2 linked regions of the Anolis sagrei genome follow. The protein of the gene in region 1 purifies or fractionates together with the protein of each later gene. This does not show direct contact. Links are inferred from orthologs where the notes say so. Each region holds a gene or a part of one and is shown in the gene's direction. Other genes may lie near its edges.

Region 1 (9,747 bases):
AGGCCATTAAAAAAAGACTCCAGCAAAGCACTCCAGCAAAAAAGCATGCGGGGAATGCGGAAGTACTTCGTCAGTGTCACAGATGGACGATGAAAGCGACAGCTCCCCTGGCGGCCAGAAAAAGTTAAATAGCCTCTGTGTATGTCTGTATATTTTGTATGTCAAAATTGGCATTGAATGTTTGCCATATATGTGTACACTGTAATCCGCCCTGAGTCCCCTATGGGGTGAGAAGGGTAGAATATAAATGCTACAAATAAATAAATAAATAAATAAATACTATTTTCAAAATGGGCTGTAAATCCATCTAATTTTTCCATTGCACACATTTGCAATGGGTTTATTAGCACAACTGACACATGCAAGATTTTGCTGCAACACATGTCAAATTCTGTGCCATGACATTTCCACTGAAATTCTGCATTTAGCACTAATATTGGAAATACTACATGTTATTAAATGCCTATTTCTGCATGTATTAAGCAAAGTCCTATGATGTTCAAAATATGCAGATAGTTTCCATGCAATTTTATTTTTTTTAATCTTGTAGAATAAATAATGGGCAAAAGGTAGGATATTAGGTAGGATATAAGGGACAAAATTAACATAATTTTAAAAAGACATTCTCAAAGATGGGGAAGAGGATTCATCATTGACACAGGATTTACACTCTGAACATTGAAGCAATTTGTTATTGGTATATGCTTGCTTCATAGTTCCTCATTAAGAGGAAGAAATGTCAATATCAAAAATTATATAAAAAGGTATATGCAGCAACATACTTCCAGTCTCTACATTAAAAGAAAATCTGTTAAAACCAAGAATTACTGTGATTTTTAAGAGGAATCTGGCTCGGAAGAGACCACAGATTTAAAAAAACTTCAAGAACAGCTACTTCACCTGAGACAATTCTATTCCACTTTCTTCTTTGCAGTTTGATTTAAATGCACAGGAATTCCATAACATGCTTCTTTTGCTCCTCATTTTGTCCCCTTTGTCTAAAGGCTTTAAGTGTGATGCTCGAACAATATCCCTACAGGAAACAAAAAAGTGTGCATTATTAAAAGTTCAACAGTAGTCTGATTAAATACAAAGTTGTGGAGTTAAGAAAGCGTCTACTTTTTGAAATTTTTTCTTTAATAAAATTATTAAAGGCACAACAATTTTACCTAGTATTGTATTCATTCAAGTGCCAAGTACCTGTTCAGCTTGTCCAAAGGACAAAGAAACTTCAGATGCCTACAAACAACTAAAACAACTAAGTCATATGGTAAAGTGAATACCTTCAATGTGCCACAATTTAATGTGGTAGCCTGCATATGGCAAAATTTACATACTCTAACTACCTGCATTTGTAGCTGCCCGTAAAAAATGCTGCTCCATTTAATCCTTTTATAGGATGCCTCCTTTCTCTCAGATATCCAAACAATAAAACTTGGAAGTGGAAGAAGCAGCACTTTATTACCACTTTGCAAAACAGTAATGGGTGTGCACGAACATTTCATGTTCTATTTACTGTATAATTACTATTAACAACATACCTATTAATGTCTATAGAACAGATTTCACTGTGGGGGAAAGTCATGCCAGTTGTTCTTGGTGCAAGTCTGTTTTAATTTGGGAACTGCTGGTTAGTATGCCATATACATCAGATGCTAAACTGTATTAACTTAACAGCTGTATATGGATTGAGATAAAATCACAAGCAGCTGCTCTAAAGATAAGTATTTTGTTTTATCTACCCCCTCTTTCTCATCAAGAAAGGAATTAATAAGACTCAAGAAACCTGAATTCTTCATAGGATGCTACTTTCTGGCGCACTGCTCGAAATTTGGCATCGTTTTCTCTCTTGTACTTCTCATCACTGGCAATCGCTTGTTCCAACTCTTTTTCCAAAGTACGGAAATCTATCATGCCTTCCATTCTTAAGACCTAGGAGCAGCACAGGTAAACTAGTATAATATTTAATTAAAACAACAACTCTTATGCCAAAAATTGGGGCTGAACAACTTTAACTGGAGGATACAAAGATATTAAACAAGAGGAAGAAAGATCAGTCCAAATAAATCATAAGCGAATATATGCACAAACACACATACAGAAACCAGATGATATTAGTTACCATCTGAGCATACTGTTATGCATTTTCCACTTCCCAAAGTAACCACAGTCAATGGGCTGAAGGAGCCCTACAGAAGCCAGCTTTTTAAGGGAGAAAGAACAGATTTACAGCATCTTTTGAATAACTAGTCAATTTTACAGCTATATTAGCAGGCCCCCCTTAGGGCCAAATTGATTCAGCATATTGGCAAATCCAGATCTTGGCAGGAGTTGCTTGCACCCTGACGCGTGGTGCTTCACATTAAGCCAGCTCACAACTCCTAACTCTTTTTTTCTTCTCAATTCAAGCAGCAAAACCTGGCTGCATACCAATTATTTTAACTGTAAGAGAGCATCTCCTCGCCAAATTCAGATGGGTACAAATGGAATCTATTACAAATGTGCAAGGAACACTTTTGTTCGGCATTTAAAGTCAATCAGGTATGACCTTCTTCACAACATCATCTTCCTTGGGTACAGTTTTTGATTCTAGCCCAAGAATAAGACTGCATTTGAAACATACCAATCACTCCCAGCCCCTGTTGATTTATAGATCATGATTTGTGTGTGTGTGTGGACACACACACCTTTATAAATCTCAGAGTTCATTGAGGCTGCTGATAACACTGTCCAACACACATTCTGGTGCTTTAAATGTTACATTTGTTTTTGGGTATACTGGACTTGTTGATTCCCAAAATGTCACCAGTTTTCCCCTATCAGCTCTACCTTTGTCATGTAGCAGTCTTCATCTGCTCTCCCATAAAAAATCATAACTACATCTAAGAAACTAGAGCTGATGCTAGACAGTGCAATTTTCTGAGTAATCACCCCAAAGAACAACAGAAACAAGCCTAAAAAACAAGACACTAAGGGTCCTTCCACACAATCATATAACCCAGAATATCAAGGCAGATAATCCACACTATCTGCTTTGAAGTGGATTATCAGTGTTCACACTGCCATATAACCCAATTCAAAGCAGATTATGTGGGATCTTATATAGCTGTGCGGAAGGAGCCCAATAATTATTTTGTTTGGGCTATGCAATTCTCTCTTCTGCACCAGTTGTACAATTTTAGCTACAAAAGCATCAGCACTGTGAGCATTAAATGGAGTCCCCAGTGGTACAATGGGTTAAACACTTGTGCCAGCAGGACTGCTGACCAACAGGTCAGCAGTTAGAAACTGGGGAGAGTGGGTTGAACTCCCTCTGTCAGCTCCAGCTCCCCATGCGGGGAGAGGAGAGAAGCCTCCCACAAGGATGGTAAAACATCAAACATCTGGGCGTCCCCTGGGCAATGTCCTTGCTGACGGCCAATTGTCTCATACAAGAAATGACTTGCAGTTTCTCAAGTTGCTCCTGATAGTAAAAACAACAACTGAGAGCATTAAAAAATAGAGAGAACACATTCCATAAGATGGAGATACATTTCCAGTATCAAGAGACATTAATATAGTAGGCTCTCAGGGCCTTCCTCACAGCCATATAACCCAGAATATCAAGGCAGATAATACATAATATCTGCTTTGAACTTGGTCACCTGAGTCCACATTGCTGTATAATCCAGTTCAATATGGATTTTATACAGCTGTGTGGAAGGGGCCTAAATAAGGCACTTCAGGCCTCCACTATTGGGAGACTGCAACTCCCAGCAACAAAGCAGTCTCCCAATAATGGAAGCCCGAATGGTTCCCACTCCTGTTTTAAATCATAAACTTCTGTGGGTCTCTTTTAAGGATCACTACATATTTTTTAAGGATCACATATCTATGAGCCCCCGGTGGCACAGTGGGTTAAAGTGCTGAGCTGATGAGCTTGTTGACCAAAAGGTCACAGGTTCGATTCCGGAAGCGGCGTGAGCTTCCTCTGTCAGCTCTAGCTTCTGCCAACCTAGCAGTTCGAAAACATGCAAATGTTAGTAGATCAACAGGTACCGCTCCGGTGGGAAGGTAACGACACTCCATGCAGTCATGCCAGCCACATGACCTTGGAGGTGTCTATGGACAACGCTGGCTCTTCGGCTTAGACATGGAGATGAGCACCACACCCCAGAGTCAGACATGACTGGACTTAATGTCAGGGGACAACCTTTACCTTTTACATATCTATATAAATAAAAATGTAATGTTCGTTTGTGGGATTAACAGAACTCAAAAACCACTGGACGAACTGACACCAAATTTGGACACAATACACATATCAGGCCAATGAGTGACTATCACTCATAAAAACACTGACAAACAAAGCAGAAGAGACTTAAAAAGCCAAAAAAGCAAAAGATGCTACAGCGCATGCACAAAAATGTCTCTCCCAGCAAACAAAACACACAATAGCATAGCCACACTCTCTTCCGGACTACAGCTCCCAGCATCCCCTAGACCAGGCTCTTTAGGGGAGGAGGATGATCCAAATGCACTGCTTTCAAAATGCAATTTCCTTGGATTTCTTTGAGAGCATCCTATTCCCTGAATATTTTCAATTTCCTATTCCTGGACTGCAACTTCCAGCAATCCTCCAGATAGATAGATTAGAGATAGATAGATAGATCAGGACTGCTGGGAGTTGCAGTCCAAGAATAGGTAGAGAAGGAAGAAAGGGGAGAAAGAGGAAGGGAAGAAAGGAAGAAGAGAAGGAAAGGGGGAAAAGGGAAGGAAGGAAAGAATTAGGGAAGGAGAGCAAGAAAGAAGAGAAAAAGGGATGGAGGGTTGGCCACACAACGCTTAGCGAGTACAACTAATACTTCAGGAAAATTTGCACTGGAAAATCCACACCAAAAGCACGAAACCGAGAGAAGGCAGCTTTTCAGTCTACACAGGGCGCTGGAGTTCGTTCTCCAGGGTAGGCCTCGCGTTCCCATGCCAACGAGGTTTCCATAGCAACCAGGACACTCTCCGAGGTGGGTAGGGCCTTCCAGCCGTGGAGCTAATAGCTCAACTCCGTATTTCCTATAGACGAGGGAATGAAAGGCCCCCTGTTGCCTACGGATGAGGCTGTCTACTCAGTTGCCGGAATGATTTCCTCTATTTTCCTCCATATATATCGGTCTTGGTAGATAGCCATAAATACAACAATACAATAATATAACACGTTATTGTTGTATTATGCCTTTCCACCAAGACCGATATATATCGGGACTGCACCTTTAAAGAAAGAAATGGAGGAAATCATTCCGGCAACTGAGTAGACAGCCTCACCCGGAGGCAAGAAGGGGGCCTTTCATTCTGTCGTCGCAGCTCGCGCGACGGGGAAAGAGAACGTAGCAACGAACGTGCGCCGCAGCCTGTGCTGAGGAAGGCGGTAAAGCAAAGGGAAAAGCAGGAAGGTAGGGCTGCATGCCTGTCTTAACTGAATATGAGGGTTTAAACTGTCTAAACTGAATATGAGGGTTTTCCCCCCTCTAACTGTACAACTAGTACATTGTTAAAATACGACCCAACAGCATAGTGTGTAAGGACAACCTCGAAAAGACTTGCTAGAATTGCTTTTAGCTGGAAGACCTACAGTTGAGCAGGACTCAATGGCCCCTGAGCCTCCTTCCAGCCCTATCATTTCTCTGGCTAATGTATTGTTGAAGGCTTTCATGGCTGGAATCACTGGGTTGTTGTAGGTTTTTCGGGCTGCATGGCCATATTCAAGCTGGGTTTAGAAAAGGCAGAGGAACGAGAGACCAGGTTGCCAATATCCGCTGGATAATGGAGAAAGGCAGGGAGTTTCAGAAAAACATCTATTACGGCTTCATTTACTCTAAAGCCTTTGACTGTGTGGATCATAATAAATTGTGGCAAGTTCTTGGTGGTATGGGCATCCCAAGCCACCTTGTCTCTCTCCTGAGAGATCTGTACAAGGACCAAGTAGCAACAGTCAGAACTGACCACGGAACAACAGACTGGTTCAAGATTGGGAAAGGCGTACGGCAAGGCTGCATACTCTCACCCAACCTTTTAAACTTGTATGCAGAACACATCATGCGATGTGCGGGGCTTGATGAATGCAAAGCTGGTGTGAAAATTGCTGGAAGAAACATTAACAACCTCAGATATGCAGATGACACCACTCTGATGGCCGAAAGCGAGGAGGAACTGAGGAGCCTTCTAATCAAGGTGAAAGAAGAAAGCGCAAAAGCTGGGTTGCAGCTCAACATAAAAAAAAAAACCCAAGATTATGGCAACAAGAATGATTGACAACTGGAAAATAGAGGGAGAAAATGTGGAGGCCGTGACAGACTTTGTATTTCTAGGTGCAAAGATGACTGCAGATGCAGACTGTGGCCAGGAAATCAGAAGACGCTTACTTCTTGGGAGGAGAGCAATGTCCAGTCTCGATAAAATAGTAAAGAGTAGAGACATCAGACTGGCAACAAAGATCCGCCTAGTCAAAGCCATGGTATTCCCTTTAGTAACCTACGGATGTGAGAGCTGGACCTTAGGGAAGGCTGAGCGAAGGAAGATCGATGCTTTTGAGCTGTGGTGTTGGAGGAAAGTTCTGAGAGTGCTTTGGACAGCGAGAAGATCCAACCAGTCCATCCTCTAGGAAATAAAGCCTGACTTCTCATTGGAGGGAAGGATACTAGAGACAAAGTTGAAGTACTTTGGCCACATCATGAGGAGACAGCAAAGCCTAGAGAAGACAATTATGCTGGGGAAAGTGGAAGGTAAAAGGAAGAGGGGCTGACCAAGGGCAAGATGGATGGATGGCATCCTTGAAGTGACTGGACTGACCTTGAAGGAGCTGGGGGTGGTGACAGCCAACAGGGAGCTCTGGCGTGGGCTGGTCCATGAGGTCACGAAGAGTCAGAGATGACTGAACGAATGAACAACAACAACATGGCCATATTCTAGAAGCATTCTTTCCTGACGTTTCGCCTGCATCCTCAGAGGTTGAGAGGTCTGTTGGAACTAGAAAAATTGGGTTTATATATCTGTGGAATGTCCAGGGTGGGAGGAAGAACTGTTGTCTGTTGGAGCTAGGTGTGAATGTTTCAATTGGCCACCTTGATTAGCATTTGAAGGCCTGACAGTTTTTTGGTGTGGCTTGTTAGTGCCTGGGGAAATCCTTTGTTGAGAGGTGATTAGCTGTCCCTGATTGTTTCCTCTCTGGAGTTTCCCTGTGTTTGAGTGTTTTACTGTTATGATTTTAGAGGGTTTTTTAAATAGTGGTAGCCAGATTTTGTTCATTTTCACGGTTTCCTCCTTTCTGTTGAAATTGTCCAGTAGCACTTTATTAGACTTTAAGATTGCTTGCACACTGCACTTACTCTAAAATCTGACATACCACCTGTCACATCAGCACTTTTAATCTGTACCCATTATTATTATTATTATTATTATTAGCTTTATTTGTACCCCGCTAGCATCTCCTGAAGGACTCGATGCGGCTTACAAAGGCCAAGGCCTCAAAACACAACATAACAATACACAACCTAAAGCAAATAAAAAAATTAAAAACAGTTAAAGCAAAATTAAACAATAAGCAATAAACAATACACCAAGACACAATAAAACTGGGCCGGGCCAGAGTAATGGGTACAGATTAAAAGTGCTGAAGTGACAGGTGATATGTAAGGATTATAGGATAAGTGCAGTGTGCCAGCAATCTTAATTCTAATAAAGTGCTTCTGGGACTTGTTATTGGAGTTTTCACTACATTTGGCCCGGCCCCAGTTTTATTGTATTTTGGTGTATTGTTTTATTGTTCTGTTGTTTTTGATATTGCTTTAATTGTTTTGATTTGCTTTGAGTTGTGTATTGTTATGCCATGTTTTGAGGCCTTGGCCTTTGTAAGCCGCATCGAGTTCTTCGGGAGATGCTAGCGGGGTACAAATAAAGTTAATAATAATAATAATAATAATAATAATGGATTTCAATGGCTTCTCTGTGTAGTCTGACATGGTGGTTGTTACAGTGGTCCAGCATTTCTGTATTCTCAAATAATATGCTGTGTCCAGGTTGGTTCATCAGGTGATCTGCTATGGCTCACTTCTCTGGCTGAAGTAGTCTGCAGTGCCGTTCATGTTCCTTGATTTGTGTTTGGGCAATGCTGCATTTGGAGGTCCCTATATAGACTTGTTCACAGCTGCATGGTATATGGTAGACTCCGGCAGAAGTAAGTGGATCCCTCTTGTTCTTTGCTGAATGTAGCATTTGTTAGATTTTCTTGGTGGGTCTGTATATAATTTGTATGTTGTGTTTCCTCATCAGCTTCCCTATGCAATGAGTGGTTCCCTTGATGTTTGGCAAGAACTCTTTTCCTCTGGCTGGATCTTGCCAAAAGTGTTCTTGCCATACGTCAAGGGAACTACTGACCACATGGGGAAGCTGATAGATGCCATAGATGCAGGTGAAACGTCAGGGGAGAATGCTTCTAGAACATGGCCATATAGCCCAAAAAACCTATAACAACCCATTTCTGTGGCTATTCTATCACGGAATGAAATAGTCAAAGGGCCCTTCCAGAAAAGCTCTATATCCCAGGATCTGATCCCAGGTTATCTGTTTATCCCAGATTATCTGGCCGTGTGGACTAATATAATCTAGTTTAAAGCTGAAAACCTGGGATCAGATCCTGGGATATAGGGCCTGTCTGGAAGAGCCCAAAGCTCTACTGTTTGGAGCGGAAATAAAATTTCAACTCGATGGAACTGAACTATTTTGAATTGTAGGAAAGAGCAGCCGGTAAAAGCTAAAAGATGATAGGAGATAGAGGGATACAGATGGCCTTTTCTGTGGTGGCCCCTCAGCTGTGGAACTCCCTCGCAAGTGAAATTCGATCTGCTACATCCCTCTGGACCTGTCGGAAACAAGCGAAATCCTAGCTATGGGATCAGACCTTTGTAGATTAGGTTGACCTGCTGACATGATGGCTTTAATGGAACTGACTATCCGCTCCTTGGATGATGACGTAAACTGGCAACTGTTGACTGTTGATTGTCTTTTATACTGTTTTATTGCTATATTGTTATTTAAATTGTATATTTATGTTTTGGTTGTAGGCACCATGGGGTGCCGGTCTGTTAGCCACCCTGAGTCGCTCTGCGGAGGTCGAGATAGGATGGGATACAAATGACCTAAATAAATAAATAATAAATACAGGAAAGGACTGCAAAGCTTTATAGGTACAGGCGAGATACAGATCTCAGCTGATTACAATGGGCAGTTTAGGGAGCTGGTATGTATCACTTGGAGAAAAGAAGGCTGAGAAGAGCATGATAGCTATGTGTTGTTGAAGGCTTTCATGGCTGGAGGCCTTTTCAGGCAGGCTCGATATCCCAGGATCCGATCCCAGGTTTTCAGCTTTAAACTGGATTATATGAGTCTGCACCATCAGATAATCTGAGATAAACAGAAAACCTGGGACCAGGTCCTGGGATATCGGGCCTGTCTGGAAGGACCCTGGGTTGCTGTGAGTTTTTTGGGCTGTATGACCATGTTCCAGTAGCATTCTTTCCTGACATTTCACCTGCATCTGTGGCAAGCATCCTCGGTGGTTTGTTCAGAGGTCAGTTGGAAATGAGGCAAGTGGAGTGTATATATATCTGTGAACTGTCCAGGGTGGTGGTTGGTGGGGGCTTGTCTTGGACTCTTTCACACAGTCCTATATCCCAGAGTATCAAGGTATAAAGTCCCACATTATCTAAGTGTGGACTT
Region 2 (10,517 bases), on another chromosome or scaffold:
TTTTTTTGGCTGACCAGACATTTTGTTTGGTTTTAATGGGATAATCCTGTTTGCAAAGCCTGGAGTAGTGTTTGTCAATAAACAGAAGCATTTCCTGAAATGGCTTGCCTTCTCTTCCTCTTTTTTCTCTCAAAGCAGCCGCAAAGTATGTGCCACACAGCTTTGAATGACCTGGGTTCAAGTCACGAGTGCTTAATGGTTCATTTAACTGCATGGAAACAATACTGAAGCTTCTGTGTAGACATGCCCTTTGCAGCTCTGATTAGGTTGCAACACGAGTCTGCATTGGATGCTCTCCATTCAGGGCAGGGTGAGTTCTTCATGAGGTTTGTCTGAAAAGCATCATTAGCAGCAGAAGGACTGAATGTTTAGAGCAGGGGTCTGCAAACTAAGGTCCAGGAGCTGAATACGCCCCTCCAAGGTCATTTACCCAGCCCTTGCTCAGGGTCAACCTAAGTCTGACATGACTTGAAAGCATACAACAACAATCCTATCTCATCGGCCAAAAGCAGGCCCACACTTCCCATTGAAATACTAATAAGTTTATATTTATTAAAATTGTTCTTCATTTTAATTATTGTAATGTTTTAAGTGTTTTTTGCACTACAAATAAGATGTGTGCAGTGTGCATAGGAATTCATTCATTTTTTTTCCCAAATTATAATCCGGCCCTCCCAACAGTTTGAGGGACTGTGACCTGGCCCTCTGTTTAAAAAGTTTGAGAACCCCTGGTTTAGAGGCTCATATACACTGTTTTATGAGCCTCTGAACCAACACAATTGGTGCTTACTCTATAATTCTCAAAGCGAAATGGTCAGAATAGTAAGAATCGGGAAACCAATATGCCTTTATGGTGTTGGGTCTGAGTTCATCTGCAAAGCCAACCAACCCAAAGGCCTATGAAATCATAGGGGGATTTGTGAACCTTAGTTGAGAGATTCAAAATCTCCATGCCATCCTTGTTGCACAAATACATTCCTTTTCTTACATTCATCAAACAAATGCTATTTTAAATATTAAAAATATCATGTGTTTTATCTAGCAGGATGTTGTGTCAAATAAACTATCATTTCCCAGTTAAAGTACTGAGAAGTAACCTCTCTTAAGTGCTGCTCTTTAGAGGCATTGGACCTCTTCAGATTACGTACAGCCAGAGAAACTAGTAACTATATAGATCTTTATTGATGAATTGTAAAGGTTTTCCCTGACATTAAGTCTAGTTGTGTCCAACTCGGGGGGGGGGGGGGGGTGCTCATCTCCATTTCTAAGCCGAAGAGCCGGCATTGTCTGTAGACACTTCCAAGGTCATGTAGCCAGCATGGCTGCATGGAGCGCCGTTACCTTCCCGCAGAAGCCATAACTATTAATCGACTGACATTTGCATGTTTTCGAACTGCTAGGTTGGCAGAAGCTGGGCCTAACAGTGGGAGCTTACTCCACTCCCTGGATTCGGACTGCTAACCTTTCAGTCAGCAAGTTCAGCAGCTCAGTGGTTTAACCCACGGCACCACTAGGGGGCTTGTTGTATTTTGTGGCAACAAATTCCTTCATTTTAACTACTGCACAAGAGTGTCATACAGGGGAAATCCAGACAAGAATCGATCAGGGCCAGCTAACACTTCCCAACAAAGGATCCCGAGGCAGCAACCAGCTAGACTTTGAAACTGCAAGGCCATTAAATACTAATCAAGTTAGCAAATGGCAACATTCACACTTGCCTCAAACAGACAAAAGCGTTCTTTCTCCCACCCTGGACATTATTCCACAGATATATAAATTTCACTTGCCTAATATCCAACAGACCTCACAACCTCTGAGGATGCCTCCCATAGACGTCATCAAAAATACTTCTAGAAAATGCACTTACAGCCTGGAAAACTCAAAGCAAACCAGTGATTCTGACCATGAAAGCTTTCGACAACACACACATACAACATCTAACGCTTTAAAAGAGAAGGACAAGATAAAAGGATGATTATTCAGAAGAAAAAGCAGGCAGAAACACACAAAGAACAGAAAAAAGAAATAGAGATTTTGAACTTTGAACAATGCCTAAGATTGAGATGGGCTATACAAATGGACTGGTTATATAAAATTATCTTTGGTGTAATATAGAGAAAAAGCATGATAATTATAAAATTTAAGAATAGATTTCTTGTGAAACGATCTTATGAAAAATTATGCTCATTTTCTATTGAAGAACTGGAAAAGAATATATGAAGATCACAAAACAATGTGAGAAGACACATTGAAGAGACAACCAATGGACTTAAAGTTGTTAGAATCTTCACTATTATAACAAATATGTGTTAAAGAAATAGAGATGAAGATTTAGTTGTAACGATGACAATTTTGTAAAAGGAACCCCCCATACCCCAACAACCCCCACCCTCTTTATTTTCTCCTTGCGGCATAATAGAGACTGTAAATATGCAACTAACCAATAACAAATCTATTTTCCCATTTTTTTCTTCCCCTTTCCCCCCACCCTCATGTAAATGTTTAATAAACATTATGGGGGGGGGGGGGGAGAGGTACAGTCAGTCTTCCACATTTTCAGAGGTTTGAAGCACAGGACCCTGGTGAAAGTGAAGAATACAAATAAATGTTTTGGTTTTTTTACTAGACAGAATATCTCTAGGAATGGATACAGGGGTTCTCCAGATGTTTTGCACTTCAATTCTCAGAAACCTCAGCTCCCTTGATCAATAATCAAGGATTCTGGGCACCAAATTTCATCATCATCATCACTTTATTTCTTAATTAGTCGCTCTCCACCAAATTGCTCCGAGCGACTTACAATTTAAAATAGCTTATACACAATATAAAACATTCAACATAAAAACATTCAGCAGTGACTATGGCAAAATTTGATCCAATTACTTAAATGCACAACCAAACAGCCAAGTCTTGAGCGCCTTTACAAAAGGTTGCAACTCTGACATTGCTCTAATATATGGAGGCAATGAGTTCCACAGAATTGGAGCATAGATCAAAAAAGCTCTACGCCTTGTAGCTTCCAAATGTGCCTCCCTAGGACCTGGTATGTATAGGAGATTTTCCTGGGTGGATCGAGGTGACCACTGATGGGGAAAAGGAATGAGGCAGTCCCTAAGATATAAAGGTCCTTGGCCATTTTGAGCTCTAAATGTCAGGATCAGTATCATGTAAGAGATCCGATGTTCTATTGGTAGCCAATGCAGTTGTTACAGAATCGGTGTAATATGGGGTCTTATAGATGATCCCGCTAGCAACCTGGCTGCCGCATTTTGGACCATCTGAATCTTCTGGGTCATTGACTTCGGAAGGCCAGCATATAAGGCATTGCAATAGTCCAACCTAGTGGTGACTGTTGCGTGGATTACCGTTGCCAATGCTTCTACCGAAAGGTAGGATGCTAATTTCCTTGCCTGGCGAAGATGAAAAAAGGCCTGCTTACTTATGGCAGTGATCTGGCCCTCCATCGTCAGTGATGAATCCAACACAACCCCAAAGCTTTTAACAGTGGCAGACGGAACCAGAGCTTCCCCGTCGAAATCAGGCAGAGACTGGGTTAATTCTGGCGGCTGGCCGGGCCAGAGTATCTCAGTTTTTGCAGGATTGACTTTTATTCGTCTTGCTCGTAACCAACTCATCACTGCTTCCAAACACAGCTTAAAGTTCTCAGGAATCACGGTTGTCCCAGGTTCGAGACGCAAGAGTAGCTGGGTATCATCTGCAAACTGGTAGCACTCTATGCCAAAGCTCCGCACCAGTCCAGCAAGTGGTCGGACGTTGATGTTAAATAACAGGGGCGAGAGGATAGCACCCTGGGGAACTCCACAGCAAAGGCAGGAGCTCTCAGAGCTTTGGCCTGACCACTCCACCCTCTGTCTCCGGTCGCGGAGGAATGAATTGAACCATTTGAGGGCTAAACCTCGTACACCAGACGGAGCCAATCGATGAATCAGCAAGTCATGGTCCATGGTGTCAAATGCAGCTGTGAGGTCCAAGAGTACCAATAGCGCTGATCCGCCTCGGTCTAACTGATGACGAATTTCATCAGTAATAGCTACCAAGACAGTCTCTGTTTGAAAACACATGGAAGACTACAGTCTGGGAAACAGTCTATAGTCAACTTACAATTGAAGCTGAACATAGATGCACACTGGAGGAACTAGTGAACTGTCCTCTAGAAATCCCTGGATCCTCCAGGATGAAGATTGAGTCACACTGGAGAACCTGGGATTCCTAGAGAGAACATATTTACATTAAATCCATGAATAAACAAACAGGAAAGATTAAGTCCCTGATTGTCCTCCATCCAAGAAAGCTTCAGGGCAATGCGTTGTTGAAGGCTTTCATGGCTGGAATCTCTGGGTTGCTGTGAGTTTTCCAGGCTGTCTGGCTATGGTCCACAAGCATTCTTTCCTGACATTTCTCCCAAATCTATGACAGGCATCCTCAGAAGTTGTGAGGTTTGTTGGATACTAGGCAATTGGGGTTTATATATCTGGAATGCTCACAATGAGGAAATAACCTGTCTGTTGGAGGCAGGTGTGAATGTTGTAATTAGCCACCTTCATTAGCCTTGAATATCCTTGCAGCTTCAAGGTCTGACTGCTTACTGCCAGGGGGAATCCTTTATTGGGAGATGTAGTTGGCCCTGATCTGAATTTATTATTTATTATATTTGCGGTATTTGTATGCCACACTTCTCAACCCTGAAGGGGACTCAGGGAGGTTCACAGTGTTGGCAACAATTCAATGCCATTGATAAAAAACAGTATAAAACATCAAAATTGTCCCTCCCTTGATAAAACATTAAACATTATTACAGTGTTCCCTCACTTATTGCGGGTGTTATGTTCCAGAACCACCTGTGAAAAGTGAAAATCCGCAAAATAATTATTTTAATATTTATATATCATTTCAGTAGGTAAAGGTAAAGGTTTTCCCCTGACATGAAGTCCAGTCGTGTCCGACTCTGGGTATGGTGCTCATCTTCATTTCTAAGTTGAAGAGCTGGCGTTGTCCATAGACACCTCCAAGGTCATGTGGCCAGCATGACTGCATGGAGCACCGTTACCTTCCCACCAGAGCAGTACCTATAGATCTACTCACATTTGCATGTTTTCAAACTGCTAGGTTGGCAGAAGCTGGGGCTGACAGCGGAAACTCACACTGCTCCCTGGATTCAAATCTGCAACCTTTCGGACAAGCTCAGCAGCTCAGCGCATTAACCCAATGCACCATCGGGGGTTCCTTATTTCAGTAGTTATACACTATTTTAAGTCTTTATAAACCCTCCCCAGACACTTATACACTACATAACCCTCCTTGAATGTGTTGTTCACATAATCCTCAGCTCCGGCTTTATCTGCAGAGGCAGCCTCTCCATACAGACAAACGCTCTTAAGGCCAGAGCGCTTCTAAAATTAATCAAACCTGCCATGTGATCGTAAAGTTGCTTGGCCTTAGTCCGACCACGCACACGTGAGTCCGATGCTAATGTGAAATGGAAAAGCAGAGAATAGCTGCGCACAAGATTGTTGTTTTACCAGGTAAAGGTAAAGGTTTCCCCTGACATTAAGTCCAGTCGTGTCCGACTCTGGGATGTGGTGCTCATCTCCATTTCTAAGCCGAAGAGCCAGCGTTGTCCATAGACACCTCCAAGGTCATGTGGCTGGCATGACTGCATGGAGCGCCATTACCTTCCCGCCGGAGAGAATGCCTCTAGAACATGGCCATATAGCCCGAAAAAACCTACAACAACCCAGTGATTCCAGCCATGAAAGCCTTCGACAATACAGACCTCACAACCTCTGAGGATGCCTGCCATAGATGTGTGCGAAACGTCAGGAGAGAATGCTTCTGGAACATGGCCACACAGCCTGAAAAAAATCACAGCAACCCAGTGATTCCGGCCATGAAAGCCTTCGACAACACATAACCAAAAAGTGGGAGGAGAGAAACCAAACCTAAAAATGTATTGTTGAAGGCTTTCATGGCCGGAATCACTGGGTTGTTGTAGGTTTTTCTGGGCTATATGGCCATGTTCTAGAGGCATTTTCTCCTGACGTTTCGCCTGCATCTACAGCAAGCATACTCAGAGGTAGTGAGGTCTGTCGGAAGTAGGAAAATGGGTTTATATATCTGTGGAATGACCAGGGTGGGACAAAGGTCTGCTGGAGCTAGGTGTGAATCTTTCAACTGACCACCTTAATTAGCATTTGGTGCCTGGGGTAATCTTTGTTGAGAGGTGATTAGATGTGCCTGATTGTTTCCTCTCTGTTGTTTTGCTGTTGTAATTTTAGAGTTTTTTTTTAATACTGGTAGCCAGATTTTGTTCATTTTCATGGTTTCCTCTTTTCTGTTGAAATTGTCCACATGCTTGTGGATTTCAGTGGCTTCTCAGGAGAAAATGCCTCTAGAACATGGCCATAGAGCCCGGAAAAACCTACAACAACCCAAACCTTCAAAGGCAGGACGCTCTGCTTTGACGCAGAAAGCAGTGCGCGCGCTCCTCCTTTTCCTCCTTCCGGCCGCTTTTGGAATCCGTTTCCGGTCGGAGGGGGATTGTGGGAAGGCAAATGGCGTCCACCAAGAGGGTGCTGTATGTGGGTAAGGAGAAAAGACTGGGAAGAGAAGGGGGCGGCTTTCAAAGCTGGGGAGACCTTGGAGGCGGCGGCAGAAAGGCGCCTCGTCGAGCCAAGCGGGCAGGAGTTCTTGGGCCTGGGTTAGGGTTAGACTTGTAGGCCTGCCCTCCTTGCCTTCCCAATGGCGACGTAAGGGGCCTCTCTCTTCTTGTCCCCGTCTCCCTAGGCGGCCTGGCGGAGGAGGTGGACGAGAGGGTGCTGCACGCGGCTTTCATCCCCTTCGGAGACATCACCGACATCCAGATCCCTTTGGATTATGAGACAGGTGAGGAGGAAGGTGGGAAGGAGAGGAAAGAGAAGGGAAAGGAGAAGGAGAGTAAATAAAGGGAGGAGAAGAAAAGGGAGAAGAAAAAGGGGGAGAGGAAAGAGGAGGATAAAGGGAGGGGGAAAGAAGAAGGCAAAGAGGAGGGAGAGAGGAAAGAGGAGGAGAATAAAACAGGAAGAAGAAGAGAAAGGAGAAGAAAAGGATGAGGAAGGAAGATGAGAACAAGACGGAAAGTGGAGGAGAAGGAGAATAAAAGTGGGGAGGAAGAAGAAGAGGGAGCGAAAAGAGGAGAAGAAAAAGAGGGGGAAAGAGGAAGAGGAGGAAGAGAATACAAGGAAGGCGAAAGAAGGAAGAAGAGAAAGGAGAGGGAGAGAAAATAGGGGGAGGAGAAGAAAGGGAGGGGGAAAGAAGAAGGGAAAGAGGAGGAGAATAAAAGAAGGAAGAAGAGGGAGAGGAAAGAGGTGGAGGAGACTAAAAGGGGCAGAAGAATAGAAAGGAGAATAGAAGGATAAAGGAGGGAAGATGAGATCGAGACGGAAAGTGGAGGAGAAGGAGAATAAAAGTGAGGAGGAAGAAGAAGAGGGAGCGAAAAGAGGAGAAGGCAGAAAATAAAAAGGGGAAAGAGAAAGAGGAGGAAGAGAATAAAAGGAGGGGGAAAGAAGGAGAATAAAAGGAAGGAAGAAGAAAACGAGATGGAAAGTGGAGAAGGAGATTAAAAGGGGGGAAGAGGAGAAGGAGGAGAGTAAAAACGGGGAAAGAAAAGAAAAAGAGGAGGAAGAGAATAAAAGAAGGAAGGAAGAAGAGGAAGAAAAGAGGTGGAGGGGAATAAAAGGGGGAAGAAGAATAGAAAGGAGAAGAAAAGGATGAGGAAGGAAGATGAGAACGAGACAGAAAGTGGAGGAGAAGGAGAATAAAAGGGGTGAGGAAGAAGAAGAGGGAGCGAAAATGAGAAGGAGGAGAATAAAAAGAGGGGGAACAGGAAGAGGAGGAAGAGAATAAAAGGAGGGGAAAGAAGGAGAACAAAAGGAGGAAGGAAGAAGAGAACGAGGTGGAAAGTGGAGAAGGAGAATAAAAGGGGGAAGAAGAGGAGAAGGAGGAGAGTAAAAACATGGATGTGGGACCAGGTCTTTGGGTAATCTGTCAAACTGACAAGGACAATGGCGACTAGAGCTTTGGAAAGCATTATGATAATGCTGAATGGACTTGTGGATTACAGAACTCGGCGAACGTTGGCCACCAGATTGGCTTTTTTTTATTAGTTGTTATTGTATTAGTTGAATGTTTTAACTATTTATAATTGTTGCTGTTATATATTTTACTATGTTGAATTGTTGGCATCGAATTGTGCCGGTTGTAAGCCGCCCTGAGTCCCCCCTACTTTCTAATGTTTTAAATGGAGTCTCTGTTCTTGCAATTTGTATCCATTGCTCCATTTGTCCTGGTCTCCAGAGCAGCAGGAAACACACCTTTCCCGCTCCTCAGCGAGACATTTTTTAAATGTTTCAAAGAAAAACAGTAGTTATTTTTCTGACCTGCCTTTTTTCAGTATGAAATTAGGCTTCTCATAATAGTTTTACATGGAGGTCTGGTTGTCTATTGGTTGCCCATAAGGTTTGCTAAACTGATTATCCTTTTCTCATATCTCTGCAGAAAAGCATCGGGGTTTTGCTTTCATTGAATTCGAACTGGCTGAGGTAAGGAAATGCTGACATGTTGGCACCCCAAAAACCAAACATTTTTTGCAGAGGGATCCTATAGCACTTTAGAGCCCCAGAGAACAAGGTGAGTGGGCTAAGCTTTGGTAAACTCAGTTCTGCCTTCATCTCACTTCTTGTTGTTCAAGAAGGACTCTCCTTAACTTTAAATGGCACAAGGAAACCTAAAACACAGTGACCCCCAAGCATGGTATTTGGGGGCAACTTGAAATAAGGGATGATGAGTTATCAGTAAAAATATATCTTCTTTTCTTCTGTAGGATGCTGCAGCCGCCATCGACAACATGGTACGTCTCTCTTTAGATTTTCTGAATTTCATTTTGTGGAAAGATGAAATCCCCGCTCATTCCTAACAATATTTTCTGGTAGAAGTGAAGTAATCTGTTTTATAGACTCCGCTTTGATGGTAGGTTTGTGCACAGAGTCCTTCATTTTGGTTTTGCAAAAAGCACATAGAAAATCTCCCTTGTTCCAATACAGAGTTCTAGCTGAATGGTTCCAGTAAGATTTATTTTTAAATTAAGCAGTCTGACTTTTATGTGCTAAAAAAAAGAGAATACAGAATGAGGATGTCAGTTGTATGAGGGTTCTCCGGAAAGTAAGGTTACAAGGGACGTAGCTCTCGCGGGGAAATTTCTCGTAGGAAGTTGGTATCACTTCCATGTAGCGGGAAGCCAGCGGAAGCGAACAAGTAGTGCCAGTCATCAGTAGCTCATCGACTGGCGTGGTGAAGGTTAGAGATGAGCGTCCTCATTCCATTTCCCTCCGAGTGCAAAGTTTGTGCTGTAATACGCTACTGAAATGCTAAGGGCATGAACGCTGCTGCTATTCATGGCAAAACCGTTTCAGTTTATGGAGAAGATAGCATGTGACAAAATGGGTACGGAATATATTGTGAGACCATGAAGAAACTTCGCAAAGCCATCCAGAACAAATGTGATGGGATACTGACGGCGGGAGCCTATCTCCTTCATGACAATGTGCATCTGCACACCACTCATGCAACTCAAGAGTGGTTGACTTCATTTGGTTGAGATGTTTTAAGCCACTCCACTCACAACCCCGATCTCACACCCAGTGACTACCATCTGTTTACTAAATTGAAGGAACACCTGGGTGGAAGACACTTTTCCAACCACGACAAGGTGAAAATCGGAGTGATGAACTGACTGAAAAAGGTAGAAGGAGACTTCTATGACACAGGCATCAAAAACTCATCCCACTGATGACAAAATGTATTGAACTAAATGGTGATTGTGTGGGAAAATAACGTAATACCTATGCTGCAATCCATGTAAGTTTTATTAAAATATATTCATTCTTTGTCTTTTAAAAAATAGATATAACCTTAATGTATTATTGAAGGTTTTCATGGCTGGAATCACTGAGTTGTAGGTTTTTCTGGCTATAGGGCCATGTTCTAGACCTCACAACCTCTGAGGATGCTTGCCATAGATGCAGGCGAAACGTCAGGAGAGAATGCTTCTAGAACATGGCCATATAGCCCAAAAAACCTACAACAACTCAATTATAACCTTACTTTCTGGATAACCCTCGTAGAATCCAGTGGCAACAAAGAGGGCCAGGGGCAGGGAAATTAGTAGTGTAGTCCACTGAGAAATATGTGGGCATGAAAATGACTAAAGTGAAAGTATGGACAAACATGTTTTGCCTGCTTTAAGAGCCAACATAGTAAAATGGCTGCATTTATCCGGGACAGTGAAGTCCGTTTTCCTACATGATACTCATGTTAAGATGCTAAATCTAACCTACCTTATGTTGGGCTTGTATGAGAATTACATGATGATTTCAAAGTAATCCTCTCCCCTCCTTAGAATGAGTCTGAGTTGTTTGGGAGGACAATCCGCGTCAACTTGGCCAAACCGATGAGGATCAAGG

Evidence for each region. Proteins that work in one complex are often made in the same cells at the same time.
Region 2: the proteins of EFTUD2 (region 1) and PPIE purify together in Homo sapiens (affinity purification with mass spectrometry; 3 studies listed by BioGRID and IntAct, with this or other methods). This does not show direct contact. The link is inferred for Anolis sagrei from reciprocal best matches to the Homo sapiens genes EFTUD2 and PPIE.

The regions. Positions count from the first base shown.
Region 1 is NC_090026.1:47,531,817-47,541,563, forward strand, and holds the start of EFTUD2 (116 kDa U5 small nuclear ribonucleoprotein component), read left to right. Parts: upstream 1-5,317; 5' UTR 5,318-5,426; intron 5,427-9,747. Other genes in the region: CCDC103 (coiled-coil domain-containing protein 103), read right to left, coding at 901-1,033, 1,787-1,932, 4,845-4,961. UniProt on the Homo sapiens protein: Required for pre-mRNA splicing as component of the spliceosome, including pre-catalytic, catalytic and post-catalytic spliceosomal complexes. Component of the U5 snRNP and the U4/U6-U5 tri-snRNP complex, a building block of the spliceosome.
Region 2 is NC_090034.1:84,717,494-84,728,010, reverse strand, and holds the start of PPIE (peptidyl-prolyl cis-trans isomerase E), read left to right. Parts: upstream 1-6,504; 5' UTR 6,505-6,572; coding exon 6,573-6,603; intron 6,604-6,804; coding exon 6,805-6,903; intron 6,904-8,553; coding exon 8,554-8,597; intron 8,598-8,878; coding exon 8,879-8,905; intron 8,906-10,453; coding exon 10,454-10,517. UniProt on the Homo sapiens protein: Involved in pre-mRNA splicing as component of the spliceosome. Combines RNA-binding and PPIase activities.